Arabidopsis thaliana: one gene and its partners. The protein of the gene in region 1 purifies or fractionates together with the protein of each later gene. This does not show direct contact. Each region holds a gene or a part of one and is shown in the gene's direction. Other genes may lie near its edges. The genes, in order: PHB3, AT1G01170, AAC1 and AT5G25450.

Evidence for each region.
Region 2: the proteins of PHB3 (region 1) and AT1G01170 fractionate together in Arabidopsis thaliana (co-fractionation; one large-scale study listed by BioGRID). This does not show direct contact.
Region 3: the proteins of PHB3 (region 1) and AAC1 fractionate together in Arabidopsis thaliana (co-fractionation; one large-scale study listed by BioGRID). This does not show direct contact.
Region 4: the proteins of PHB3 (region 1) and AT5G25450 fractionate together in Arabidopsis thaliana (co-fractionation; one large-scale study listed by BioGRID). This does not show direct contact.

What each region holds. Positions count from the first base shown.
Region 1 is NC_003076.8:16,313,317-16,321,346, reverse strand, and holds PHB3 (prohibitin 3), read left to right. Parts: upstream 1-4,055; 5' UTR 4,056-4,725; coding exon 4,726-5,037; intron 5,038-5,236; coding exon 5,237-5,758; 3' UTR 5,759-5,776; intron 5,777-5,858; 3' UTR 5,859-6,497; downstream 6,498-8,030. Other genes in the region: G6PD6 (glucose-6-phosphate dehydrogenase 6), read right to left, coding at 6,791-6,958, 7,120-7,165, 7,280-7,395, 7,496-7,566, 7,673-7,768, 7,971-8,030. UniProt on the Arabidopsis thaliana protein: Prohibitin probably acts as a holdase/unfoldase for the stabilization of newly synthesized mitochondrial proteins. Necessary for mitochondrial and cell metabolism and biogenesis.
Region 2 is NC_003070.9:72,229-78,561, reverse strand, and holds AT1G01170 (ozone-responsive stress-like protein (DUF1138)), read left to right. Parts: upstream 1-3,824; 5' UTR 3,825-3,901; exon of another isoform or gene 3,902-4,106; 5' UTR 4,107-4,118; coding exon 4,119-4,224; intron 4,225-4,311; coding exon 4,312-4,457; 3' UTR 4,458-4,631; downstream 4,632-6,333. Other genes in the region: AT1G01180 (S-adenosyl-L-methionine-dependent methyltransferases superfamily protein), read right to left, coding at 2,006-2,929; GIF2 (GRF1-interacting factor 2), read right to left, coding at 4,679-4,740, 4,822-5,074, 5,167-5,275, 5,399-5,475, 5,546-5,647, 5,893-5,979.
Region 3 is NC_003074.8:2,603,174-2,611,177, reverse strand, and holds AAC1 (ADP/ATP carrier 1), read left to right. Parts: upstream 1-3,282; 5' UTR 3,283-3,544; intron 3,545-3,604; exon of another isoform or gene 3,605-3,646; intron 3,647-4,139; 5' UTR 4,140-4,147; coding exon 4,148-4,621; intron 4,622-4,704; coding exon 4,705-5,079; intron 5,080-5,175; coding exon 5,176-5,472; 3' UTR 5,473-5,743; downstream 5,744-8,004. Other genes in the region: iPGAM2 (Phosphoglycerate mutase, 2,3-bisphosphoglycerate-independent), read left to right, coding at 1-105, 201-479, 563-766, 858-1,282, 1,585-1,777, 1,857-1,952, 2,042-2,197, 2,331-2,495; AT3G08570 (Phototropic-responsive NPH3 family protein), read left to right, coding at 6,766-6,851, 6,974-7,040, 7,121-8,004. UniProt on the Arabidopsis thaliana protein: ADP:ATP antiporter that mediates import of ADP into the mitochondrial matrix for ATP synthesis, and export of ATP out to fuel the cell.
Region 4 is NC_003076.8:8,854,098-8,861,133, forward strand, and holds AT5G25450 (Cytochrome bd ubiquinol oxidase, 14kDa subunit), read left to right. Parts: upstream 1-2,819; 5' UTR 2,820-2,938; coding exon 2,939-3,032; intron 3,033-3,113; coding exon 3,114-3,271; coding exon of another isoform or gene 3,272-3,289; exon of another isoform or gene 3,290-3,551; coding exon 3,552-3,599; intron 3,600-3,683; coding exon 3,684-3,752; 3' UTR 3,753-4,379; downstream 4,380-7,036. Other genes in the region: AT5G25430 (HCO3- transporter family), read left to right, coding at 1-32, 115-162; AT5G25440 (Protein kinase superfamily protein), read right to left, coding at 878-1,158, 1,255-1,381, 1,464-1,606, 1,962-2,097, 2,223-2,476, 2,568-2,625. UniProt on the Arabidopsis thaliana protein: Component of the ubiquinol-cytochrome c oxidoreductase, a multisubunit transmembrane complex that is part of the mitochondrial electron transport chain which drives oxidative phosphorylation.

The sequences.
Region 1 (8,030 bases):
CCAATTTCTTGTGGATCTAATTGATACATAGTTTTTATTTTATTTTTAGCATTGGAGAATATCTTATAGATCTAATGTCGATAAATTTTGGGATATTTGAATCTCTCTTATATTTGTACTTTGATTCAATTTAATGAATGAGATAAGTATCTCTCCAAAAAACTATAGAACATGAAGGAATTTGTCGATAAACGTTTTCTAATGTTTTTAGAAACTATAGAAATTCTTAGAATACAATTTCACATATAGTTTAGAACATGAAGGAAATTTTAGAACATGAAGGAAATTGTAGAACTCTTCTAAATTTAATTTCCCCAATAAGATTTAGCAAACTGATCGATATTTGATCAAACATTTGAATTTTAGCGAATATGTGAATACCAAATGGCTGGCTAAATTGGATCAAGTACAAATAGAAATAGATAACAAATATCGATCTGGAAAGTGTGTTTAGCGTTTAGTACAGTGTTTAGCGTTGACCGCCGCAAACTTGTAGCCAAACAGTCCATTATTGATATTTTGTGCACTCTCAAAACGTCATCTTATGTAAATCTCAAAACAGGGAAATATTATATTTCTGTTCAAACTATTGAGTCTTCTGACTAAACCATTTATATATTGTTTATGATCTCTACAAGACTACAAATTTATATTTTCGTTTTTTAAAAGTTAAATATGATAATAAAAACAAAAAAACTATTGTCTCGGTGAGACAACCAAAAATATGCCTCTGTGTGCGTATTTGATGGTTTTACGCAACCTTTAAAGTCAATAATTTTATCTATGACTCTGTGATAATAGTTTTGTTTGTAGCAAATGATCTTTTGGTTACGCACATCATAGGAGTATTAATTATTCGTTAAATATCAAAAGTATCAGATGTCTCCGTTTCTCATTTCTTCTTGGCAATGTTTTAAAAATATTTCGAAAACAAAATATGGTCATTGTTCAATTTCCACTATTAATGTTCTGCTTTTAGTTTGTACATAAAATTTAATTCATTGTTGCTAGTGTTTAAATGTGAAGGAGCTAGGAAAGTTCGTAGAAATGCACCAAATGAAGACTTTTGAGAAAATGATAGAGTCAATGAAAAGAAGAGATAATGAAGTGTATGGTTCACTTCTATGTTCTAACAATCTCTATTTTCTTAAAATTATTTATTTTGTCATTTTCTATCTTGTCATGTTCCTGCTTTTCGGTCAAGTGGCTTTCTTCCATTGACTTATATTTTGTTATTGTTATTTAATTAGTTGGAATAATGTTTTACGACGATTTCCATATTAATTCTTGAATTAAAATACTATAGAAACTAGTTGCCCCAAAAAAGAAAAACTATAGAAACTAAGAAGATGTGTAAAATAAAATATTTATATACGGATTCATCAACATGGTTGAAAAAATTAAGGTATCATCATAAGATTAATTAGTTAAAAATTTCAAGCAAATAGGTATAGTGATGAAAAAAAAAAAGAAAAAAAAAGGTATAGTGATGAATGTTATTTGTATGATGAGTCCTTAATTCTAACTAAATTCATCATTATCCGATTCCGAACAACTCCTATATGCACAAAGAATATTTTTACTCTCGATTTATCTCGTCGTTATGCATGTGAGCATTTATGTGATGACATGTTATGGCTTATGATAATAATAACAATGATTAGAAAATGTTATTGAAATGTTTAAAAGTCAAAACTGTTTTATAGTTAGGTTTTTGTGTGTGGAATTTATTGGGATTGAAGAAAAAACGTGTAAAGTAAAACTCTGTTGGGAAAGTTATTTAATGAGTCAACTGATGAAGTTCGAATTTTTTCCAAAAAAGAGAAAAATAGACGAACAAATTAGCGTATAAATACTAATACCATATAAATAGATTAAACGCAAGATGAATCTATCTCATGTAAAACTTTATGAAAATATAGTAGACAAAAATAAAAAAAGAGATACGTTGTTCAAAGAAGCAACTCACTAAATATCCTATATATATGAATTACTGGTTTAAATAACCTAATTACAGTTTACAGGAGTTTTATATGGATGTTGTCCAATGTCGTAAGCTCATAATCTTAGACTTGTTATGTTTATTTCAATAGAAGCGTGTAGACTAAACCGCAATTGGCAACTCGAGTGTTCCGTCTGTATCTCCGCATCGAATGAGAGATACATGCTTATGTAATATAGTTCAGCGCGGGCATGTTTGTATCTGCATTTAGTGATTGTGCAAACAAAAATCAAATGATCAAAGTAGTTAATGCCTCCAGTGAAGCATCTCGGAAGCTGTACACGAGAGGAAGTTTTCTTCAAAGAAATAATCAGTTGACTCGGTTTAATTGTTACGTGTCACCTAGTGTTGTAGGTTAAGGATGAAATTTATCTCCACCAGATTGCAAATTTATTTTTATTTACTCGTCAATCTATTTCATCTTCGTTGTATATGGTCAACGAAACTATTAGATTACAATCAATTGATTTTATAATTATTACTAAGGTATGAATAATTTCAACACCACCAATTAGCTATAGTTTCGATCTGCACTTTGACACTAAATTATAATTTTTATAATTTAGTGTATCAACGTGACATCATGTATGTGATAATTAGCTTACATTATCTTATACTAGTTTGTAAACAAATACTGGCCATTGGTGGAGGAAAATTATGTGCACTAAACAACAAATGAGCATCCATTATAGCTTAGACTAAAGAATATTTGCATTATATGTAATGAGTCTCATATTTAAGTAAATGGCAATTCTAAAATTTTTTCACTAGCTAGATAAAAACACATCAATACTTTTTATTGATCTACCATTGGTGGTCAGATGATAATTCGATTCAATGTTTAGCCTAAACATATTCTTTCTGACCGATTAAAAACCAAGTGAACGTTTTGTTTTGGTCGATCTATCCCAAGATTAGTTGGACTTTGTTCCAAATTTCTTGATGAGCAAACACAAAAGTGTAAATTGTTTCTTATTATTGTTGTCATGTACCATATATATATATTTGACAAAATAACCTAGTATAGTAGTAGTAGTATATATATAATTATATATATATATATTAATATTAGTTTCAGTTTGTTTATTTTACAATTATACACTTCTCACTCTAATTGGTTATCAAAGATTCATGTTTCCTTCACTTGGGTTGTTTCTTTTACCTGTTTCGATAATATTGATGACTACATATATATCCGGTTGGAGTCAAAATGTTGAAAGAATCGAATTTAGCTCAATCTTTGAAGTTGGCGTTTAGTTTTTGAAATTAAAGATTTCTCTGCAATATTTTAATTGAAAATCAATATTGAAGGACTTTTCTGTAATATAAATCTATTTTAAAGGTTATTTTCAAACCTGTATAAGATTCGACACCGAAACATTTGACATTTTCGATAACGTGGTGAGGTCACTGTGTGACCTTCCAAGTAAAACTCCATAATTTTCTTAGTATTCGAGACGACTTAATTGAGTCATATTAATTAAGTGATACATAATATCTCTATATTTTTTTGGTCGAAGATACATAACAATTTTACGGATAAAATATTTGGAGATTTACATGCTTTCAGATTCAGTTTTAATACTCGTGTACATCTGTCTTCAAATCCCACTTAACCGAATAGAAAAGTATTCGCGTATACTGTTTGTTGGTCAAAAAATAGTCACAAAAAGTTTTCAAAAATAGATATCATTGTTTCACAACTTTTCTTTTAAGGAAAAAAAAACACTTTTTATACTGGAAAAACTCAACAACAACGTCCCCTGCCGTTATATTTGAAAAGGATTAATCATGCTCACATGTAAATATTTTTCTTATACGAAAAAGTAGTTATCCTTATTCAACTTCGTGTTTGTCAAGTAGCTCGAAGAATATTTTTGTTCACTACCGTTGGCTTGTACTAATCTAATACTTTTATAGTAGGCCCTTAACACCATACAAATGTCCAAGTAGGTATATTCTTCAATTTTTATTTGATTAAACAAATTGAGATAAACTATTGGCGTTGACCGATCTTGGTTTTCATTGCCTCGATTTTGCTGTTTTATATTTGGTTTCTTCTTGCTGGTTGGGATGCTGTTTTTGAACTGTGAGGTAGTCTTCATTTGTTATAAGAAGAGCTGCTATCTTGATGCTGTGGATTAGAATTTCCCCGTCGTTTAGCCATTTCTGCAAGCTTTTCTTTATCTTGGATTGATGGTGGGCAATGTCTCATGTGCTAGATTCTGGTTATAGTTTTTGATTTTCCATGGTTCAGTTTCTATTTTCTTATGCATTTAAAGTAATGTTTGTTAGCTTCCCATACTTTTGGGCTTTAGTCTCCGAGGATTTTTGTTATCCGTCGACTTAGTTTTTGAGATTATCTTGTTAATCGTCAGCTTTAACTTTGTAAACTCTATCTATAATCTATCTTTCAGTAAAAAAAAAATAAAAAAAATTGAGAGAAACATAATTTATGAGACAAAAAGATATTAAACATACTCTGTAACCGTTAAGCTGTTTTCAGCCCAATGTCATGAAACCCATTATTGAATTTAGTTCTTAATAGGCTTATATAGTCACATAATAATATTGGGCTAAGTTACTTGGCCCATTAAATCATTTCCCGTGGTAGGTTCCAGAAACATATCATAAACCCTAGCAGAAACTCTTTCCTCTCTCGTCGTCTCAAATCTCTTCTTCCTTCTTCTTCTCTCTCGATTCAAGATAATCCACACGCAAAAATGGGAAGCCAACAAGCGGCTGTTTCGTTCCTTTCCAATTTGGCGAAGGCTGCTTTCGGTCTTGGAACGGCGGCGACGGTGCTGAATACATCGCTTTTCACCGTTGACGGCGGAGAAAGAGCTGTTATCTTCGATCGATTCAGGGGAGTGATGGATCAGACTGTGGGTGAAGGGACTCATTTCTTGATCCCGATTCTTCAGAGGCCTCACATCTTCGATATCCGCACGAAGCCTCACACGTTCTCTTCAATCTCTGGTACTAAGGATCTCCAGATGGTTAATCTCACTCTTCGTGTTCTCTCTCGTCCTGAGGTATAACGCATAACGGTTCTTCATTTTTGATCTAGACTCGTTTGATTTCTCTGAATTGAGGTTTTTCAGATTCATTTGCGAATTGGATTTAGGGTTTAGGGTTTTGATGATCTATGATTTTCAAAATTTGTTTCGAGGACTAGGTATTGTAGAATCGTTATTAATTTGGTGTGTTTATGTGATGTGAATTGTTGTGAAGGTGTCGCGTCTCCCGTACATCTTCCAAACTTTGGGTCTAGAGTATGACGAGAAGGTTCTTCCTTCGATTGGAAATGAGGTTTTGAAAGCTGTGGTTGCACAGTTCAACGCTGACCAGCTTCTCACTGAGCGTCCTCACGTCTCAGCACTTGTTCGGGAGTCACTAATCACCCGTGCGAAGGACTTCAACATTGTGCTTGATGATGTAGCTATCACGCATTTGTCCTATGGTGTGGAGTTTTCAAGGGCTGTTGAGCAGAAACAAGTGGCTCAGCAAGAGGCAGAGAGGTCTAAGTTTGTTGTGATGAAGGCTGATCAAGAGAGGAGAGCTGCGGTTATAAGAGCTGAAGGTGAAAGTGAAGCTGCTCAGTTGATTTCTGATGCTACGGCTAAAGCTGGTATGGGACTTATCGAGCTTAGGAGGATTGAAGCTTCAAGGGAGATTGCGTCTACACTTGCTAGGTCTCCTAATGTGGCCTACTTACCCGGTGGCCAGAGCATGCTCTTTGCCCTGAACCGTTGATCTTGATCAGATATGATGGTATGTAAAAGCTTCATCTGAATCCATAGAATTAAGTCGTTTTGTGATTTGTCTGAAGGCTTTGTATTATGGTTATGTGCAGGTTGTTTGGGAGCATTTTGCGATATTTTAATGATCAAGTTGTGAATCTGATTGAATCAAAAAGGTGAAATGCTCTTTTGTTTTGATGAACTCTGAAGAAGAAAAAGAAACTAGTTGTTTGAGTTGTCATTATTGTGTTCTGAATCTCGGCAAAATTTACTCTACCTGAAGAATCTTTGTTTTCAGCATCATGTTTATCTAATTCTCAACAAATAAATGATTTTGGCTGAACTGTAAGTAATTTGTTTGTTACACATGCGTGAGAAAAGAAAATACAGATGGTACCTAGGAGTGTTGTTCTATGCGGATAAACTATGGTCACATCTGGATTATCTAGATGGTACCTATTTTGCATAAACTGTCGATAGTCTACGTCAAATTTCGATCTGTATGGACATTCAATTGTTTTTGCATAAACAGAGCAAGTTCAGAAACAAAGCAAATAAAGAAGAGAAATCATGAAAGATAGCCTTTTCTATCGAGATCCATTTTATCCATCGGTTTTAGTTTTTTTTTTTTTGGTCATCTAATGATAATGATGACTATGTAAAGACGGCGTCGGTTCCTAGACTCAACTTATGTGTCTGTGTCAACAAACTCTAGATGGAACTTAATGTGTGTTTCAACCACCTCTAGATTGAACTTATGTGTGTATATCAACAAACTCTACATTTTTTGGCAATTTTTTCTATCTCATCGTCAATTTCATTCATTTAACGAGCACAACAAAAGCTAAATTCATTTATGGTATTGGTAAGATTTTTATTTTTATTTCTACAAAGCCGCAAATACAAGACCAAAGGAAGTGTCAAAGTGAACAGCTGAAGTAGCAAGTTTCACGTACAAACACCAAACTCGAGGAGGGACTATTCAGCATAATTTATACATATACATGTAGATACATGTATTGTGTATTTATATATATGTAGGGTTTTATAGTGTAGGAGGGATCCAGATATAGCCGTGAGTCTGAAGATAACCAGCTTTCTCTAGTAGCTGATCAGCTTCTTTCGGTCCTCGGCTTCCTGGTTTGTATGGGATTGACTTTACTTCTCCTTTGTCGATCCTGTGGAGTAGCGGCGTGAAGATCTCCCACGCAACCTGTAATAATCATCAAAATGGATACAAATGTTAGCTCCTGAATTGTATGATGCAAAAGTTTGTGTCTGGATTGTGTCTATAGTTAGAGCATTTGTAATGTAACAAAAAAACGATCTCAGAGACTGCTTTGGTTTAAGGGTGGCGTTAGAAAATGTTTCTACCTTTAATTCGTCTCTACGAACGAAATGTTGTTGATCGCCTTTGATTCTGCAGAGAGATGGAAAGAAAATATGTTGAAGATAACATGAAGGAACAGAAGGCATCAATTAGATATATAAAGCCTATTGGGGTAGTATATAATTTAGAAAATTTATTTCTTACGTGTCAAGAATTAAGCGCTCGTATGCCTCAGGGATAGCGACACCTTGATACCGTTGCCCATACGACAAGTCTAGTTCACTTTGCACAGTATTCATATCTAGACCTGGTTGCTTAACCTGTGTAGCAAAAGCATAGCCAAAAGCGTTATGGTTCACTGTAGTGGTTCAAGGTCAGAGTAATTAGTAAATTATGTTTGTTTGTTCATCATATACTTACAGTTAGTTTCATGTACATTGCCTCTGAAGGTTGCAAGCGTATCACAAACTCGTTCCTTCCTTGCTTTTGACCTGTTGCAAGAGAGTTTAGACAAAGCGATACATTGTGTCTTTACATATATTTAAATTCAAAAAGCTAAAAGAAGATTCAAAACACGATGTCAGGGCAAGACAATACATCTGAATATGTCGCCTGGGACATCCTTGAATTGAATGCGAATTTCTGCCTTCCTTGAATTCAACGCTTTTCCGGCCTTTAATATAAATGGAACACCTGAAAGATATATCCAGGACCGTTAGAATGTGCATGCAAACATGTCGGATTTTGGTTCCACATGCTTTAACCAAAAGATTGATGCTATCTATGATCATGTTGACCCATCAAACCTCTGTTTTTTCTTCATATTTTATGTCAATTTCCAGATTGTTTCTGAACTGATAGATGAAAATATGAAGAGTGAAGTGGGACATGGTACCTTCCCATCTTTCGTTGTGTATGCGAAGGATTGTTGTGGCAAATGTTGGAGTGTTTGAGT
Region 2 (6,333 bases), on another chromosome or scaffold:
TATTTTGGATATTGTATCTGATTAGTTTAAAAAAATTAAAAATTTTAGCACTTATAAAAAACCTTATAATACGTTTTAATAGTAGTATATAAAAATATAATTAAAAATAAAATAAATCTAAATAAAACAAAAACGATTATAGGAATTTGAAAATAAAAACGATAAAAAACTTTGAAAATCTATTTATGTTTAGAGCTAAAAAATATTAAAAAAAGAATAACTGAAAATATAGGATAGAAAATGACGTGGCCAATAGATTGTATAATTGTGTTGTATGCGGAATGTAAGATAATTATCGTTATGGGCTTTATTCTTGTTGTGGCGGTGAGAGCGGAATGTAATTGTGTTCACGACAACGGCGAAAAGCCGGAGAAGATATGATGGCAAATCTACTACATAAGGAAGAGAGAAACTAGATTCGGAATCTTTTGGAAGTAATTTACAACTGAAACAAATAAAGAAAGAAAGATACCTTTTGAAATCAGAGAGCCTTCCCTTTTAGCTTTCTGATCATCGTTATCCCCCCAAACAACGAATTCAATTTTGTTGTTTTTCTTCAGAAATCGAACACACACACAAACACTCGACTAGATTACTTGATTTGAAGAGTGGAAATCAAGATCATCTAAGTAAAAAAAGAATTAGAAGAGAAAGAGATAACAAACTAACGATCTTCAAATTGAGGGAATTTCGATCGATTAGGTCTCTCTGGGGTTATAAACACGTCTCACTATGTATCACAAAGACACAAACAATATTGAATGGAAACAAATAAAAGGAAATCTTTGTAACGGAAACGGGGACAAAAATAAATGAAATGGGATCAATATGGCAGACGAAATTCCTAAAGTACCCCAAGATTATAGAGAAGCTTCCGTTATCGTTCGTTTCTAAATAAGACTGACTTTGCAATGTGACTTCTTCAATGGCCCATCTGTCTTACAATCTCGTATTAGGCCCAATTATGTTTAATTGTAATTCTGCTTTGCTTAGAGGTTGTGCTTTTTTTTTTTTTTTTCACTGAAAGATATATTTTATATTCAAGACTGTAACCAAATATACAAAAAGTTAGGATCAAGGACAATCATTCTAGATCAACCACAATGAGTATTACACTAAGCAATACTTCTTTCTTTCTCAAAAAGATGTTTCAGCCAAAAAGGAAACCCGGTTGCTACATACGATTGGCGGCGATCCTCCATTGTCACGCTCTTGGCAATAAGATGAGCTCCAAGATTAGAGCTTCTTACTTCACCACACAATTCCAATCCAAAAAATTACTTAATTCTCCCAACAAAAAGTGAATCTGAAATTTATACGAAGGCCAAGACGGCAGTCGCGTAACAGCTCCAATTAGATCATTGTCTTCAGAGGCAAAGATGATTTTATCAACTCTGAGACTTTTCATACTCTCCATGGCCCATTGCCAACAAAGAAAAGTAGCATCAAGCTTGCTATGAACAGATGCAAAAGATCTTCTAGCATGAATTAGGACCTTACCGTGTTCATCTCTCAAAAACCCGCGCAGCACCTCCAATCTCACCAAATCTATCCCATGACGATCTAATATTGCATTTTAACCAATCATGGGGAGGAGGAGACCACTTAACCTTAACCGAAATGTGAACAGCTTGCTCATTCACCAAATCCTGATTCTCAAGAACTTGAGCAAAGAACCATTGATTGGCATCCTCTTTAATCTTCGCAACAGTTTTTGAGATCGCAAATCTTGTCCCTTTATTAATTACCTTTTTCACAGAAAAAAATAATATTCTGAAAATACACTTCCATGGAACACTTCATCAATTTGAAGTAAAAACAAAAAAAATGATGTTTTTTTTGTTTCACCTGATCAATCAAATATTTTTTCTCATTACACAATCAAAAACCTCAAATCCATTAATTTTCAAAAGATGGAAAAAAAATATGAATTGACTATGCAATATTACACATTTTCTTATTATTTATACATCGAATTTTTTCATTCCTTATGGGAAAAAGGGAATCAGGTTACTTTGACCGAATCAATAACCCAATGTTGACCATCGGTTTTGACCTTTAACCGGTTAATCTCTGCGAACAGATTCACGGCTCTCCTCACTCCTCTATTATCCGCCGCCGTGAAATAATCGTGACCAAATATAACACCGCCGGGTCGGAGTATCCGAACCGCCCGGTTTATATCCGCCCATGCCGAATTAAAATCGTGACCCGCGTCTATCTCCACCAGGTCCGCCGTCACTCCCCACTCACACAGCTTCTCCAAAGCCGAACCGGTCGAGAAAGGAACCGGCAATATCGAACCGGAAAAATCCGAGATAACCACGTTTTGCATAAACTGGTACATAAGCAGAACGTCACCGTTAACCAAAGCCATGTCCTTAAACCGGTCTCGAAAACCGGGCCAGCCACGGAAGTCGTCGACGCATAGAATCTGAGTCTCCTCGAGCCCAAGTCGGCGCGTGAGATTCGCCATGTGTATCGCCGACGCGCCGAGAAAACTCCCGACTTCGACGATCGTCTTAGGTTTGACTCGGCGGATTAGATTCTCGAAAACGGCCCCGTATGATCCCCAACCTTTGATTCTTTTTGGCCGGAGAAACTTCTTGGCGTGCGGTGGTGGGAAATCGATGTACGGAGAAGTTCCGTTAAAGATCCGGTCAATAACAGTCTGGCGAATCAATTCCGGCGGAACAAGATTGCCGCATGGAGTCGTAACTCGGAAGTTGTCGATTGAACAAACTTGAGGTTTTGTCGTTTCCACGGCTGTCGTAGACGGTGGCAGCTGCTGCTGCAGCGGTTGATGATAGTGGTAGGCGGAGAAGTAACCAAAGGCGTAGGTTAGAACTATGACGATAACGTACGCAGCCTTGGTTTTCAAGAATTGGAAGGCGTCGCGTTTGTGAGGAAGACGACGATCCTCCTTCATGGTCAAGATTTCTGAGAATGAAGAATCAAGTAAAAACAAAATAGGATTAAGGAAGGATAATTGTTTTTGTTATTAAGTTTATATAATTCGAATTATGGAAATTTATTTATGATTATTTTGGCGGGTCAGTTTGTTGAGACGTTTAAATACAGTCGGATAAGGAAATTGCTCACGTCGTGATCTAATTTATTTGTATTTATTTGACTTTACGTGTCTAGAAAGCTACATGTGATGTAGTCATTTACAATCAAAATCATTTGCTTTAATCCTTGACTTAATTCATTCTGTATTTCGGGTTTTATGAGTTTAGAAAAACCATATAAAACAAAAACTTATTTAACTCCCCTAGACCTATTAATAAATGAAACTACGAATCTCTAATCTTTAGTGTATTTACAGTTTTCCAACGAAATCATATGTTATAACACGACACGACCTCAATAGTCAATAATAAGTAGAATCATGTTTTGAACATGTCAAATGCAGCACTGATTCGAAAGAATAAAGAAAAAAAGAGTTTTGAATCGTAATTCTGCAAGAATTAAAGTGTAGTGTTTAATATATGTGGCATTCGCCGAGATCATCTTATAATAGAGTATGTGTCATACGCCGAAAACAATGTTGGACACTTGGACCTTTCCTTACTGATAAATAAATAAATTCATATCAACTAGCAAATTAGCATATTACAGGTTTTGGTTATAACAATTACTCGAGCTAGACGTATGATGAAATTCAGCAAACTAGTAGATTTGCTATTATATCTTCCCTTGTGATGATTGTAGTTTTGTCTCTTAATAAAACTAGTAATTAACGTTTCAGAAAACAATGCCCATTTTGGTAATTTCACAGAGATTTATCCAAAGTTTTTAAAGAGATAAGACGATAGAGTTGGACGACCGTCTTCCACCGTTGAATTCTTCTGGAACTGGAGTCCACTGTTTAAGCTTCACTGTCTCTGAATCGGCAAAGGTAAACGTATCAATTATTCTACAAACCCTTTTATTTTTCTTTTGAATTACCGTCTTCATTGGTTATATGATAACTTGATAAGTAAAGCTTCAATAATTGAATTTGATCTGTGTTTTTTTGGCCTTAATACTAAATCCTTACATAAGCTTTGTTGCTTCTCCTCTTGTGAGTTGAGTGTTAAGTTGTAATAATGGTTCACTTTCAGCTTTAGAAGAAAATGGCATCAGGAGGTAAAGCCAAGTACATAATCGGTGCTCTCATCGGTTCTTTCGGAATCTCATACATCTTCGACAAAGTTATCTCTGATAATAAGATCTTTGGAGGCAAGTTCTGCTCAAGATTTATCTAGTTTTGTGTGTGTTTTCAAGTTAGGGACGATCTTAATGGTTATCTTCTTGTGAAAATTTCAGGGACTACTCCAGGAACTGTCTCTAACAAAGAATGGTGGGCAGCAACGGATGAGAAATTCCAAGCATGGCCAAGAACCGCTGGTCCTCCCGTTGTTATGAATCCCATTAGCCGTCAGAATTTCATCGTCAAGACTCGTCCGGAATGAGAAAATAATAAGTTCAATGCTTTGATTTTCAGAATAAGATGAACGATGACGATGTTTTCTAAATCCGAGCTTGTACTAAATAACAATACATTACAACACGGTTTGCGGAACTACTCCACAGTCTATCTTCTGTTAAAAAACTCAAACAAGCTATTGCAAAAAGCCCTTACGAGACTCACAAGTCCTAAATATCAACAAAACAAAGCTTCTTTGGATCCTTTTCACTTGCCATCATCTTTTCCTTGTCCATCTGCTCCATCTTGCTTTCCTCCTCTAAGCCCCACTGTTAGCAAAGAAAGAAGTAATGGATACAAGTTACAATTTATGAGATTGAGTATTGTCTTAATAATGTAAAGAGAGTTACCGTTTCCTCCAAGACCGGTTTCTGGTTGTTGCATCGCATGCTGCATCCCGTTGTTGGTCATACCCATTGGTCTAATCCCCATGTGTCCTTGCATAGCTTGCTGATGTATCTGCTGCTGCTGTTGCGGATCCTGAAACTGGAGTGGGCTACCAAACTGTAAAGGACCCCTTGGAGCGAAAATCCCTGCAGGGGATGCTTGTGGGTGTTGCATGAAGTAGCTAGGTGGTTGCATCCCAGAATGCGGTGTTGCCATCTAACAGAAATCATACCCAACAGTAAGCAAACCCCCAAACAACATTAAATTTCTGTGATAGATCGCAATTGAGTTTTATCATCACAAACAACCTGGGCAGCGACAGCTGTAGATGGTGAAGGTCCTGGCGTAGGTGGTGGGGGTTGAGCATCAGCAATTGCAGCAAGATACATCAAGTTCTTCTGGAGAAGAGCTTGGTACCTGAAAATATAACAGAGCAAAAGATAGAATAACTATATAAACCTCACCATTAATAATAGTAATTCTAAGCTTCCATTACTATCTAAGAGACATAAGAAGATGGATAGAAAAGGTGAGACTTACTGGGCGCACTCAGCAAGTTTACCGAGATTCTGGTTTTCCATGATGGCCATAATCAGCTTCTTGTTCTCATCAAGGTACTGCGTTTAAGCAAAGGAAAGAGAATGACAAGGAAATGACGATGCAGCCTATCATCTTACCATGGAAGACATCAAGCCAAGAGAAAGTACAAAACAACAACATCAAGCAAGCATCTAACTTCAATGTCCATTCTTGAAAACCGGATTCAAAGTTTCCTGACCCACCAAGCATCTACTAATTTCCTAGTCCTAGAAACTGTCTCTTCTCATCATCACCAACAACAGACTCTCAAGTGTTGTGGAATTAACGAGAAAGATTCAAATGAAAACCCTAATTGCCACCAATTACAGTCAAAAGAGTATTACTTGCACTCAGAAGCCAATGATTTTGTCAGTACAAAAAAGCTCTAAGAGCCTCCTAAGTAGTGTTGAACAAATTAAGAGAGAGGGAGAGATATAGGGTGAGAAAGAAGGAACCTTTTGGATCTGTTCGGTAGTGATGTTGTTAGCAGGGGGAATCGACGGAACCATCGGAAACATTTGCGGAGACTGCTGCTGCTGCATCTTCTTCTTCTTTACTACTTACTTTGCCCCAACTAAACCCTAATTTCGTCTTCCCCAAAAAACCCTCGACAAAACCCAGACCGATCCAAACGCAGGAAATGATTGCAAGCTATATCTATATATATTATAGAGAGAGAATCCTGCAATTTATTACTTGGATTCACCTGGATGTCGAACCACCTCTGTGTGGATTTTATGACCAAAAATGCCTCTGTCTCTCTCTCTCTCTCTCTAATTTGTCTTTACAAAACTCTAAACGAAAACATAAAACATTAATTAATACAGCAACGAGCAACCTCTAACCAAATTAGAAAGTTTTGGATATATTTGGGCCAATGGGAAAAAAGGACATAT
Region 3 (8,004 bases), on another chromosome or scaffold:
AAAACTATCGGTTTGATTGTTCTCGATGGATGGGGTGAATCTGATCCCGATCAATACAATTGCATCCATAAAGCTCCAACTCCTGCCATGGATTCCCTTAAAGACGTATGTTTCCTTTTTTGTTTATATCCACTTCTTTCCTCGATGATTTCGCTGGATTCCGATTATGGACTTCAACGGTTCGATTTTATTCTTCACAGGGGAAGCCCGACACATGGAGGTTGATCAAAGCTCATGGTACCGCCGTTGGTCTCCCCAGCGAAGACGACATGGGAAACAGTGAAGTTGGCCACAATGCTCTTGGAGCTGGTCGAATTTACGCTCAAGGTGCTAAGCTTGTTGATCTCGCCCTTGCTTCAGGGAAAATCTATGAAGATGAAGGTTTCAAATACATCTCTCAATCTTTTGAGAAAGGCACTGTGCACCTTATTGGTCTTCTAAGCGATGGTGGAGTTCACTCTCGTTTGGATCAAGTCCAGGTACTTAATTCTCATCTGTTACACATTTCTTTTGAAACGTTGGCGTTTGTTAATTTTCTTTAATTTGGTTCTGTTTGGTGCAGTTGCTGCTTAAGGGTTTTGCAGAACGTGGTGCTAAGAGAATCCGCGTCCATATTCTTACTGATGGTCGTGATGTTTTGGATGGTTCTAGTGTCGGATTTGTTGAAACTCTTGAAGCTGACCTAGCTGCTTTACGTGCGAAAGGTGTTGATGCTCAGGTTGCATCTGGTGGAGGTCGAATGTATGTCACAATGGACCGTTATGAGGTAGGCAATGCTTGTGAGATCTTGTATGAATGTCATGCCTTGTCTAGTCTAGTTTAGAAATGAATCCAATTTTTGCTTTCCTTCCTTGCAGAATGATTGGAGTGTTGTTAAACGAGGTTGGGATGCACAAGTCCTTGGGGAAGCTCCCCACAAATTTAAAAGCGCTCTTGAAGCAGTTAAGACACTGAGGGCAGAACCTGGTGCCAATGACCAGTATTTGCCTTCGTTTGTTATTGTTGATGATAATGGAAAGGCTGTGGGTCCAATTGTTGATGGTGACGCAGTTGTTACATTCAATTTCCGTGCTGATCGAATGGTCATGCATGCAAAGGCCCTCGAATACAAAGATTTCGACAAGTTTGATCGCGTACGTGTCCCTGATATACGTTATGCAGGAATGCTCCAATATGATGGAGAGCTTAAGCTTCCTAGCCGCTATCTTGTTTCTCCACCATTGATTGACAGAACTTCTGGTGAATATCTGGCACACAATGGCGTTCGTACTTTTGCTTGCAGGTTAACTTTTAGAATCTCTCAAATCTTTAGTTATTGTCTTTGCCATTTTCTTCTATTGCTGCTTCCTGGTTTATTTATTTGCTGGAATTGGATTCATAATTGAAACTGTGATAAGAGTAATCCAGTCTTCTTTACTTGCTCGGTAGAGGTCTAATTTATGATTGGGGGTTGTTTGTTGATTAAAACTAGTGAAATCTCCTAGCTCACTTTTTCTTGATGAGATTATACCGTTGATGGTTAGTTACATATAATGAATGAATTCTCAGCTATTAACCTATTAAAATTTTATTTCACTGAAACAGTGAGACTGTGAAGTTTGGCCATGTAACCTTCTTCTGGAATGGCAACCGCTCTGGATATTTCAATGAAAAGTTAGAAGAGTACGTTGAGATTCCAAGTGATAGTGGAATATCATTCAATGTCCAGCCAAAGATGAAAGCACTGGAAATTGCCGAGAAAGCAAGGGATGCTATCCTTAGTGGCAAGTTTGACCAGGTAAGGTGTATTCTCTTATCACATTGTATCAACCCATTAAAACAATTGGCTTCTGAGTTTGGTGCCAATGGATTTTCAGGTGCGTGTAAACCTGCCAAATGGAGATATGGTGGGGCATACTGGTGATATTGAAGCAACTGTTGTTGCCTGTGAAGCTGCTGATCGTGCTGTGAGGGTATGATTTCAATAAATTTGTGACATGGGAATGTTAGAAACCGTTCTTAGTAGCAATGACTCACTTAGTTTTGGTGTCCTGGTTTGCAGACAATCCTTGATGCCATAGAACAGGTCGGAGGGATATACGTTGTGACTGCAGATCACGGAAATGCTGAGGACATGGTTAAAAGGGACAAATCCGGCAAGCCTGCTCTCGATAAGGAAGGGAACCTTCAGATTCTTACCTCTCACACCCTTAAACCAGTAAGTTCTAGCACTACTAAAACAGTTCGTGTTATGACCATTGCAACTGAGCATAGATTAAGCATGAGGGGTTGTAATACCAGAAGTGGTTGGTGTATCTTATATGAAATTTGGACATGATGTGTGTGTGCAGGTGCCAATTGCCATAGGAGGTCCTGGCTTGTCAGCAGGAGTTAGGTTTAGACAGGATATCGAGACACCTGGGCTTGCAAATGTAGCTGCGACAGTGATGAACCTCCATGGATTTGTGGCCCCGAGTGACTATGAGACAAGTCTGATCGAAGTCGTCGAGAAGTGATGATTCTTGTTGTTGTAGTTCTTTTTAAAAGTCCCACCTGAGCCTCTATAGACTCTGATTCTCTTTTAAGTTACTATTTTCACCGCTCTCTAATAAGGCTCGTGATTTTTTGGGAGCCATACTGTATACTCGCCGGCCCTCTCACGATGTTGTTCAATTCACAGACTAAATTTGATTTATCTATTTCGCCAAAACATAACTTCATTAAAAAATGTTCTCCAAATAACTAAACGAATTAAATAAAAGAAACCTTTCATGTAAAGTTAAAGGTATGAGACTTTAAGGGCAGTTGCTGAACATTCGTAACACATGGGAGAACAATAGAGAAAGTTGAAAAGAAACGTAGCATATAGAAAAATTATCTTTGTAACCAAGTTGATTTAGAAAAATATCACTATTTGTGAAAAATACTAGATCAGTTTATTATTACTTTTTTTTTTTTTGTATATTCACAAATATCATATTCATATAGAAGAAAATAAACAAAGTTGTAAAAATCTGGCATTTAAAATAAAATTGAACACTTCAATTTATTTCCTTTCATAATAATAATTTTGGCATAAGATATTTGCAAATTGATCTGGTTCGGTATGGTCGACAAAATAATTTTCCACGCTACCCTTCCAGCCGTCCATTCACTATTTGCCCTCAACGTTACCAAATAACGGTCCAGATTCCTAGGGCAAGATCTAACGGTTAGCAAGTAAAGTCGTACCATCAGAAAGAATAACAATTCTTTCACAAAGTAAACATAACCAACGGTTAACAAGTTCTTAGGGTTAAATCAGTAAGATCCAACGGATATTAAATTGCAAGGCCCAAATAGTTTTTTTGCAGCAGATAATAACTCGTCCCCACTGGCGAGTGACGACCGAGACTCTGTGACCCTATTTTTCGAGACGATAAAAGGGCAAACAATCGCTCTTTTCAAAGCTCGCCTCTTCACCACAGAGAAAACTTCGTCTCTCTTCTCTGCTTCGCCCTCTCATTTCCTGTGAGATAAAGGCGGAGTCTCTCTCCAGTTATTTTGCTCATCCATCGATTCTTAGGTATGACTCGTTTCTCTCAGATCTGTGATTCTTTATAATCTCGTCGTTCTTCAAATCATTGTTATATTCGTTTCTTCGATCTGTGTTTTTTAGATCTGTAAGGTAAATGAGACGTTTCGATCTGTAGATCTGATTGTTATATTGATAGATTATGTTATCTGCTTTGCTTAAAGTCCGATCGGAATGTTTTGTGCTCATTGTCGAATATCTGATGTATCGGTTTCATAGATCTGCTTCTTTTTGTGCGTTTCGTTGATCTGATAATCTTCTAGTGATCAAAATCGTTTGGATCTGTTGACTTTAGTTTAAAATGTATCCGATCTGATGTCGAGGCTTCATTATTGGAAGTTGTTATTGTTGTAATCCTGATTTAAGTTGCTGTTCTTAAATTTATATGATCTTTGCGTTATAATATGACATGGTAGATCTTGGTTCATGGTTCACTGTTTTCCAATAAACTTGGTTTGTTTGGTTGGATAGCGTTCTGTGATACGACCATGTCTTGTGTTGGATAAGAATTCTCTGAATTTCCTTGGCTGGTTTGTAGTATGTTATTCACGTCTGGTTTCTCATCAATGATTATGTGATTTTGCAGAGTTCAAAATGGTTGATCAAGTTCAGCACCCCACTATTGCGCAGAAAGCTGCCGGGCAGTTCATGCGTTCAAGTGTTTCCAAGGACGTTCAAGTGGGTTACCAGAGGCCTTCTATGTATCAAAGACATGCAACCTACGGAAACTACTCCAATGCTGCATTTCAATTTCCTCCGACATCCCGGATGTTGGCAACAACTGCTTCTCCCGTGTTTGTCCAAACCCCAGGAGAGAAGGGGTTCACTAACTTTGCCCTTGACTTTCTGATGGGTGGTGTTTCTGCTGCCGTCTCCAAGACTGCTGCTGCTCCTATTGAACGTGTTAAGCTTTTGATCCAGAACCAGGATGAGATGATTAAAGCTGGCAGGCTTTCTGAACCCTACAAGGGTATTGGTGACTGTTTCGGCAGGACGATTAAGGATGAAGGTTTTGGTTCTCTATGGAGAGGAAACACTGCCAATGTTATCCGTTATTTCCCCACTCAGGTTTGTTGAGTTTCATACTCTTTCTTGTTATAGCTTTTGAAAAAACATAATTTTCTGCTAACCTTCTTTTTTGTCTATTGTAGGCCTTGAACTTTGCCTTCAAAGATTACTTCAAAAGACTTTTCAACTTTAAGAAGGACAGAGATGGTTACTGGAAGTGGTTTGCTGGTAACTTGGCATCTGGAGGAGCAGCTGGTGCCTCTTCCCTTCTGTTTGTGTACTCCCTTGACTATGCCCGTACCCGTCTAGCTAATGATGCCAAGGCTGCAAAGAAAGGAGGTGGTGGAAGACAGTTTGATGGTCTTGTTGATGTCTACAGAAAGACACTTAAGACTGATGGTATTGCTGGTCTGTACCGTGGATTCAACATCTCATGTGTTGGTATCATTGTCTACCGTGGTCTGTACTTTGGACTCTATGACTCTGTGAAGCCTGTTCTCCTCACTGGTGACTTACAGGTATGTCTTGTTGTCTTTCTCTCTGATCTGTGTGCTCTCTTGCCTATCATTGGTTGATATTGACATGTTGTGGTCGTTCTCTTTTGGTTATTTCAGGACAGTTTCTTCGCTAGTTTCGCTCTTGGATGGGTTATTACCAATGGTGCGGGTCTTGCATCCTACCCCATTGACACTGTCCGCAGAAGAATGATGATGACGTCTGGTGAAGCTGTCAAGTACAAGAGTTCTTTGGACGCCTTCAAGCAGATCCTCAAGAATGAAGGAGCCAAGTCACTCTTCAAGGGAGCTGGTGCCAACATTCTGCGTGCTGTTGCAGGTGCTGGTGTGCTTTCCGGTTACGACAAATTGCAGCTGATTGTCTTCGGTAAGAAGTACGGATCAGGAGGTGCCTAAGCATTGCTTCTTCCTCCTTTTTTCGATTTTAATTGCGGTTTTAAGGCCCGCAATAAACTGAGATGTTGATGAAATTTTTTTTGCTTAAGACTTAGGGAGGCATGTGCCCTAAACCAAATTTTATATCGTTCTGACGCCAACTTTTTTTACTTATGGAATAATTCATGTTTGAGAGAGTTTGTTAGACTCTTCGATTTTAAAGAATTTTGGATTTATGAAATAAATTCTTCTTTTTTATCTGATTACCATGTTATTTATAGTCTTAATCAACTTGCAATATTGATTTCGTTATCTTAGGTAGTATCTACAATCTAGTTCAGGCTATAAGTTAAAAAAATGCACGCATCCAAACCTGTGTAACTTAGAAGTTTTGTACGAAGTAGTGAACTTAAACTGTAGCAACAATGATGAAAGAAATGTTGCAAACTCATTGTTGAGAATATCACTTATATATTGCATGTCAATATTTCACTCTTCATATCCCTCATATTGCACCTATGTCTATATCAGTAGTAATGAGAGAGCGAATGCATAGAGCTCGGTTAACATGCATAAAACATGGAAAATGAGAGTGAAAAATCTACTATGCAAATCGCCCTTTAGCATCACCCATCTCTGAATTATTTTTGTGGAACAGAGTCATAGAGTTGCACATCAGTTTGGAATTATGAACATTGATAGAAATCAAGAAAACTTCCAATAAGAAGACACCAAACAGATATTTGAGTTAACAAAAGGTGTTTCTGAAAGCTTTGAAATAAATTAAAATAGTGATGTATTAGTGATTAAGGATCTAGAGATATTTAAAAGGATCTGTCATTTTGCCATTTGTCTGCTGCTATTGGAAGGATTTTGATCCGACAAGGATTTCACATCTCAAATCACCATGTCAATTGTTTGGTGAAACAAAATAGAGCAAAAGTAGTGGTGACAAAGTAGGGTTCATAGGTGGTTGGTTAGTATAAAAGAGAGATTAGATAGAAACTGAGAGTGGAGGTTGTAATAGAGACCTCAATTAGTAAAGTGAAAGTGTGCCCCCAAGAGACTATAATTGAGTCTTTATGGAGCTCCGTGCCACACACAACCCCCTCTCGGCTTTTCTCACGTGCTCTGAATCATACATCACCAAAAAAAGCATCTCTTCTTTTTTTTTTTGGAGTCAAGATTACGAAATTGAAAGTGCATTATAAAGTCTATTAGAGAGTTTTTAAAAAATCCGAGCAAGAAAAGGAAAGTGTTCAAAGCCTATATGTTTCTGAAAGGCTCCTCCTCAAATTCATACTCAAGGTCACAATGGGTATTATATCGGACAATGCTCAATCTCACTCGTCTTCCTCTGCCCCTGCTCCTTCCATCTTCTCCAGCTCCTTTGCCACTCGGTCTGTTCTCTGTCTCTCTTTCGTTCAAACATGTCAAAGTTTGTTCCTTTTATGCAATCACGTATAGATTTCTTACTTATCCGATGCATAAAGGATTCGTTTTTACCATATATAAATTGCAGCATATTCTCAGATGTTGCGGGAGACATCACAATTGTTGTTGATGGAGAGTCCTTTTTACTCCACAAGGTTAGTGATCTGTTTTTTTTTTTTGCCCACACAAAGTGTTCGACGGAATTTCAATTTACGATGTTTGAATTATTTTGCAGTTTCCTTTAGTGGCTCGGTGTGGAAAGATTAGGAAAATGGTGGCAGAGATGAAAGAATCATCTTCAAATCTCTCGCATACAGAGCTCCGAGACTTTCCAGGTGGGTCTAAGACGTTTGAACTCGCCATGAAGTTCTGCTACGGCATCAACTTCGAGATCACTATCTCCAACGTGGTTGCTATCCGTTGCGCAGCTGGTTATCTTGAGATGACAGAGGACTTCAAAGAAGAGAATTTGATTGCGCGGACCGAGACTTACCTCGAGCAAGTCGCGTTTCGCAGTCTTGAGAAGTCTGTGGAAGTCCTCTGTTCCTGTGAGACGCTTTATCCTCAAGACATTGCTGAAACTGCTCACATTCCTGATAGATGTGTGGAGGCTATCGCTGTGAATGCTTGCAGAGAACAGTTAGTGTTAGGGCTGTCACGGCTGAACCGAGGCACCGAGTCAGGGGAACTCAAGCGAGGAGATAGTCCTGAGTGGTGGATTGAAGACCTCTCTGCTCTGAGGATTGACTATTACGCACGAGTTGTCTCTGCGATGGCTAGAACAGGCTTGCGGTCAGAGAGTATCATAACGTCTTTGATGCATTACGCTCAAGAATCGTTGAAAGGTATTCGAAACTGCAAGGAGCGAACCAAGCTCGATTCGGGTACTTTTGAGAATGAACAGAGGAACGTCCTTGAAGCCATTGTTAGTCTTTTCCCAAATGACAATGTCCCTCTGAGTTTCCTCTTTGGAATGTTGAGGGTCGGGATTACCATAAACGTAGCCATCTCTTGCAGGCTCGAGCTCGAGCGGAGAATCGCTCAGCAGCTGGAAACAGTCTCCCTCGATGATCTACTCATACCTGTTGTCCGAGACGGAGATTCCATGTACGATGTAGA
Region 4 (7,036 bases), 7.5 Mb from region 1:
AAATAAGGATCCGAACCATAAGTTTTAAAGAGGTAATAAAAACAAATTATATCTATTCTACACAATCCAAGCATTGATATGAAAAAATGCATATAAACAAGAATCTTGTTTCAGGTGCACCCGGAGCCTGAAGAGAAGCATGTAACCTTTGAACCACATTAAAAAGAATCTTTTGCAATTGTTTTTGTACACAACTGTATTTGTGCATAGGCATACATTGACTATGTTATAACTTTCCTTATAGTGGAACTTTGTTTCAGCAATTAAATATGAGATTATTCAGCATTCAAATTATCCAGTACTTGCTGCATTATGGCCATTTATTCGGGTGACGGTGAAAGCATTATTTATAAGCTTATATATATGTCTTCCGCTTCATGAGGATAGCTAATAGCTATTCTCTAAATCCGGATCGATCACCTCTGCCATGAATACCTTGTCACCTCGTATTGCTTGCTTTGCAAGAAAAATGCGCCAAATTTCAAGACCAGTTAATAGCTAGCAAGAATAACAATGGTACACCAGTCAAAGTTATTTTAGAGGAGATAAAAGATTTTCACAACGCTTTTTGCTTTACACGTCATCTCTCGGTTATTCTTCTGACACATAGCGTGGCTCCAAAGTAATCATATTTTCAACGTATTGCAGAGAGAGAGGTCGAAGAAGATAATGATCATTGTATAGTGTAAAGGTTCAAAGTTGATTAGCATATAGCTCTGTTCTTGAGTGATGGATAAGAATGGAGAATTAGGTCTTGTTTCTTAATACTTCTCGTCATATACGAGTTATTGTATACAAATGCATACATTGACTATGTTATAACTGTCTTATAGTGAAACAATGTTTTCAGCATTAGTAACCCTTATATAGTTTCTCCTCAAATCTGAGCTATAGCATTCAGATTATCTAGCACTTCTTGCATGGTTGGTCGCATCTTCGGGTCTACCTCTAGGCATTGTTTAATAAGCTCGCACATAAGTCTTCCCGCTTCAAGTGGATAGCTATTCTTCAAATCTGGATCGATCATCTCCACAATGTTGTACTTTTTATTTTTTATTTCTCGCTTTGCTGAGATTGTGAGGTCTTTTCCTAAACCAGTTAACATTTTAAGTAGTATAACACCAAAGCTATACACATCGCCCGCCATGTTCGACATCCCTTCATTTGATTAGTGCAATCAATTAAGGTTAGTCTCTTTGAATTTAATGGTCACTTTTAACTTTAAGATATAAGGAAGAAGCAGAAGATTGTTGCCTGAGAGTATGTATTCGGGAGGTGGGTATTGATATCTAGGTGCTACATTTGAAAACCCGATGGTGTATACCAATTCATCGAGAGAAACTTTTGGCTTTCCAAAATAGGAAACTCTTGCGTTGAAGTCCTGCATATCCCATAAATGTCACTTTAAAGGTAAGGAGCAAGTATTCAAGAAAAAAAACAAAAAAGGCAAGGTGAATACAAACCGAGTCGAGCAGGATTTTCGAAGCAGTGAGATATCTGCGGTATAGACCGGCTTGCTTCCTAGAGTGCAAGAAGGCAAGACACTGAGCCGCTCCTATGGATATCTTAAGTCGTGTCTCCCACGGCAATGACTTTGGACGACTATCTATGATATTATATAAACCATTAAATCCAAAAGGAAGATGAATTACTATTGGATCTAAGGTTAAGATCGTAAACTCGTGAGAGCTCCAGAAATCAATTTGAGCAACTCTCTTTATTCCCTCTCTATGATATTAAATTATCTAGGAATCATTTAGCTTGGTGTTCTTCAATTAGTATATTTTCCTCACTTCCACTAAATAAAGCTCTAATGAGCTATCTCAATTTTTAGATCTAGTTTTAAAGCTCTTATTAAGAGCTCTTACCTTTGGGTCTTGCTCGAGCAAGATTCTTCTTGCTTTGAGTCTACTCACAAGATATAATGACGAAAAGGAGATGAATAAACTTAACTTCCTTACCTCTACTGATGTAACTTCCTAAGCTTCCATTTGGAAAGTATTCAGAAACAATAAACAACATATCACGATCATAACAGTAGCCAATTAGCTTCACCAAGCTTGGATGAGAGTTATGTCGTAGAAACTCTACGTCAACCTACAAAAATATCATCTCTAATGTTAAGACACACTGACCCATCTCTAGGGGTAGGCAACATAGACATTTACCATCCAAAAACATCAAAAAATTTAGAAGAATAAATAAGTAACAAGAAACTTAACAATATTATTGGTTTTGCCGAAGGTTCTCCTATAGATTGAGATGATATAATTACTTACAAGCCAATCTTGAAAAGCTTGTTCATTGGCTAAGTAAATTTTCTTGACCGCGACGGCCATGCCAACACCTTTCTTGGCCGGAGATAACGTTTTGGGATTGATGTATCCCAAGCTCTCTCCTAGTTCCATCTGGTTTCCGAAATCATTAGTCGCTTTCTTCAGATCTGCCACCGTGAAGACTTTCACACCCTCCTCCACTATACATATATTATAACAAAACTTATATCCATTATAGTAACATTCAAATCAAAAGTACTTAAATCCGCAGAGAAATATATATATGTATACCTGATTTGGGAGCATTTGGTTCGGTGGGAAGTGTCGAAGCTGAGAGACAATTTCCCATTCGGATACTCTCTGCTAAATCTTAACACTAGAGTTCAATGAAGAAGAGAGGACTTTTAGTTTTTCACACCGAGGAGCAAAGTCAACGAAAACGCGTTTGAGAGTCAACGGTTGACGCGTTTTATTTGGTGAGTCATACGACGCCGTTTTTTGATAAGAGTACATACTACGCCGTTTGGCTAGAGTTTCATACGACGGCGTTTAAACAGATGTCTCTGGATGCTTCTTCCTTCTTCGTTCCCGGGTTAAATTACAAATAGCGGCGAAGGGGTTTCATCACAATTCACATCTTCAACGTTACTCCGAAGAAGATAATGGCGTCGTTTCTCCAGAGACTAGTAGATCCCAGGAAGAATTTCTTAGCTCGTATGCATATGAAGTCTGTTTCTAATCGCCTCCGCAGATACGGTACTCTTTCTTTCTCTCTTACCCTAGAAACCAAACCCTAATTCTCTTCTGGCTGATTTTGGGAATTTTACGATTTTTTAGGTCTTAGATACGACGATCTTTATGATCCTTTGTATGATTTGGATATTAAAGAAGCTCTTAATCGTTTACCGAGAGAGATTGTTGATGCTCGGAACCAGCGTCTTATGCGTGCAATGGATCTTTCTATGAAACATGAATACCTCCCAGATAATCTTCAGGTATGTTTTAGTCTCTAAGTAAGTGACAACAGAGCTAAAACGGTATATAGCTATGGAGTTTGTAGATAGAGCTTGCAAGATTTGACTTAAGACTTGTATTAGGATCAAGAACACTCTGTTTTCAGAAACCTGTTTTGGTTCTGTAATATAATTGTAACTTGATAAGCTTTGTAAGATCTTGTCTATGAAAGAAGTTTTTTTTGAGATAGTGCTTGTTAGTTGTGAGATAGGAAGCTTATGTAAATCTTTTTTTCTTTTCCTTGTCTCTGTAATTCCACAGGCAGTGCAGACTCCATTCAGGAGCTACCTCCAAGACATGTTGGCTCTTGTAAGAACAAAAACAGTTTTATCTATCTTGTAGTGATAGAAGAATCATATAGCAAAGTTCTAACACACGACACTTCATGTGCAGGTGAAGCGGGAGAGAGCTGAGAGAGAGGCTTTGGGAGCTTTACCTCTCTACCAAAGAACCATTCCTTAAGCATGTTAGTCTCTCTTGTGCTTATAGTAGGGTCACTGTTTTAGTACTCTTTAGGCTTCAATACCGCACAATTTGCTTTTGTATGGTTATGCATGGATATGTGAACCTTATGTATAAGATTTTATGAGATTGAATTGGATGTGTAATGTAAGCTTGATTGAGCTATTACAGAAATATGAGTAAAATATCCCACACCGGTAGGAGGAGAGTAAATCATGCTACATAAAGACATAAAGGCACACAAACCCTTAAGCTAGCTTTTGGAAATGTTTTCACAGTTCCTCATAGGAGCTCTGAAGAGAGGCGTGTAACCTCTGAACCACAATCCTTTATAACCCTTAGTTTGTCCTCTCAAATATGGGCTATAGCATTCAAATTATCTAGCACTTGTTGCATGGATGGTCTTTCCTTGGGATCTCTTTCAAGGCAGTTTTATGAGCTTGCACATACGCATCCCCTCTTCAACACGATAGCTATTCTCTAAATCTGGATCGATCATTTCCACAATGTTTTCTTTTCTATTCTCTGTTGCTTCCTCTGCTAAGATGATGCACGGGTTTCCCAAACCAGTTAAGATCTCAAATAGTATAACACCGAAGCTGTATACATCGCCCGCCATGTGTGATCTCCCTGTATATGCGTATTACCGTGCAATCAGTTTTAGGTTAGTGTATGAATTTTAATGGTCATTCTGTAGCTTGAGAGAGGACTTACCTGAGAATATGTATTCAGGAGGTTCGTAGTAAATTCTAAGAAATGCGCTCAATACAATTTTCTAGCTTGCTTACTCCTATAAATGTAACGCTCTAAGCTTCCGTTTGGAAAGTATTCAGAAACAATGAACAACAATTATCATCCGAACCGTAACCAATGAGCTTGACCAAGCTTGGATGCAGGTTATGTCGTAGAAACTCTAGGTCAACCTACAAACCTCGGCTGCCGTGTTAAGCATACATATATGAGTGATCAGTCTCTCTCGTAGAGGTTAATTTCTTACAAATCACTTTTGCAAGGCTTCTTCATAGGTTAAGTAAAATCTCTTAACGGCGATGGCCATGCCAACACCTTCCTTAGATGGAGATAACGTCTTGGGATTGATGTGTCTCCTCACACAGATTCATATATACCTGGAATTGTTGCAAGTTGTTCGGTTAGAAAACAGTTTCCCATGCCTATAAGATCCGCTTTCTTGACAGTTAAACAGAGTTTGAGGAAGAAGATGATTCACCTTACTTATCTAGATCTACTCCACCGGGCTTCAAGGTTCTGGAGTAAGCCATTGAGTATATGGACGTCTCAAGTCAATGTGTTAAAATGTCAACGCGTTGGAAAATGTCAACAAGGGAACCACCAACTTTTGTAGTTTATAGTTATAGTTTTAAACCTATGACGTGGAGCACAATATTCAAGTTTGTAGTTTAAATTGATCTTGCAAGATTGAACATAAGACTTGTATAAGGATCAAGAATCGTCTGTGTTTAAAGAGCCCTTTTGTGAACAACCTTACATAATTAGCTTTTTCCCATAGCCAATTTTGAATTTTTTTTTTTGTCGTAGCCAATTTTGATTTAATATACACAAATATTCATATTCATATTCATATCTTTTTTTTTCGTAGGGTTCATATTCATATCTTGTGCTAATAATGATCAAAGAATAATAGTTTATATAATTTTATGAATTTGTAGTCTTGTAGCATGAACTTTTCTCTGTCTTGTAGTGTTAGGGGGCTTATTGCAAAGTTCTTACACGATACTTCATATGCAGGTGAAGCGGGAGAGGCTTCGGGAGCATTACCTTTCTACCAAAGAAACATTCCTTAAGCATGTTAGTCTCTTGTACTATATAACTAAAGCCCACTTAACCAAACATTCCTTATGGCTCTTTAGGCTCCAATCTACCACACAATTTTACCTTTTATGGTTATGTACGGTTCACTTAAACACTGAACTTATACATAAGATTGATGTGTAATGTAAACTTGATCATTAAGTTAGATGTTAATGTTTACACAATTCCTCAAAGATGCCACTTTTAAACATTTTTTACATGAATCATATATATACAACGATGCTTTGCACGGTCTAGTGAATAAGTGTCGAGGTAGATAAGAATGAGATAAGGTATTTAAAGTATTTAATAGAGTGGTGTCAGTAGAGAGAACGATATGGATTTGTATTTGAAGACATTTCCATGTGAGTCACATTAGCACAGGAGGGTCCTTTGCCTAAATTCATTAATGAATTACTTAACAGAAATAAAATGACAATGTTCAATTAAATGTGAGTAGACTTACTCCTATTCTTTTCTCTCACTTGCCAAATGCCAAATTGCCAATAATTATTTATTACTGATGATTATTAAAAAAAATATTTTTCTTTTTGCGGAGATTTATTAAATATTGCATGATTTTAAAAAATAGTTATAGCCTAGCTTCCAAAAAGCCAAATTTATGTAGCTAAATGTTAAAACAATAGTATATGGCCACACTTCCACCAATCAGTCTTACTATCATTTGTCTCTTATGCGGTTTTGAAAGGATTTTGGTGCTTCTAATTTCGAATTTAGAGGGACAAACTAAAATTACGCAATATTTGAAAAGTAAGAATTATTGCTATTAAAAAATCTTGATACGATTCAAAAAAAATTATATAAAAAATACGGTTTTTAATTATTTAAATTTTCAGCATCTTTACACAAAAAAGAAAAGAATTCATTCTCATGTTCAAAACTATCTATTTTGTTAACTTTGTTTTTGAATTATGCAATTTTAAATATATTTCCTAATAATACTAGGGATGTTTGATCTTAAAATAAAAACAATTTGGTCTTAGTCATCAAATTTTAATTTTTTTTGGGTTTTTTTTTGCCGTCTATATTTATTATTTATTGCAAATTATGAGAACTGTTTCATATACAATTCTACCCAGAACAATTTTTACGACTCTTATTAGATCTACGAGAGATGATATCTCCTTCTTCTTCTCCATGCTTTTGATAGACATATTCAATGATCCTCTTTACGTAGAATCTTGACGAACGGCTATAATTGTACATCGTTGGAGATCTCATGTACATTTACCTCCATTAATCTGCAAATTTGTTAATAAATCTTAGTATCTGGGACTCGAACCTCAAATTTTTTGGTATAAAAACATTAATAAACCTTTCGTCAATCAAAGGGATTTCCAAAATCACGCAATATCCCTACCTAAACTGGAAACTCCGACCCAAAATCAAACAAAAATTTGAATTCAACATCCCTACCTAATACTACGTATATT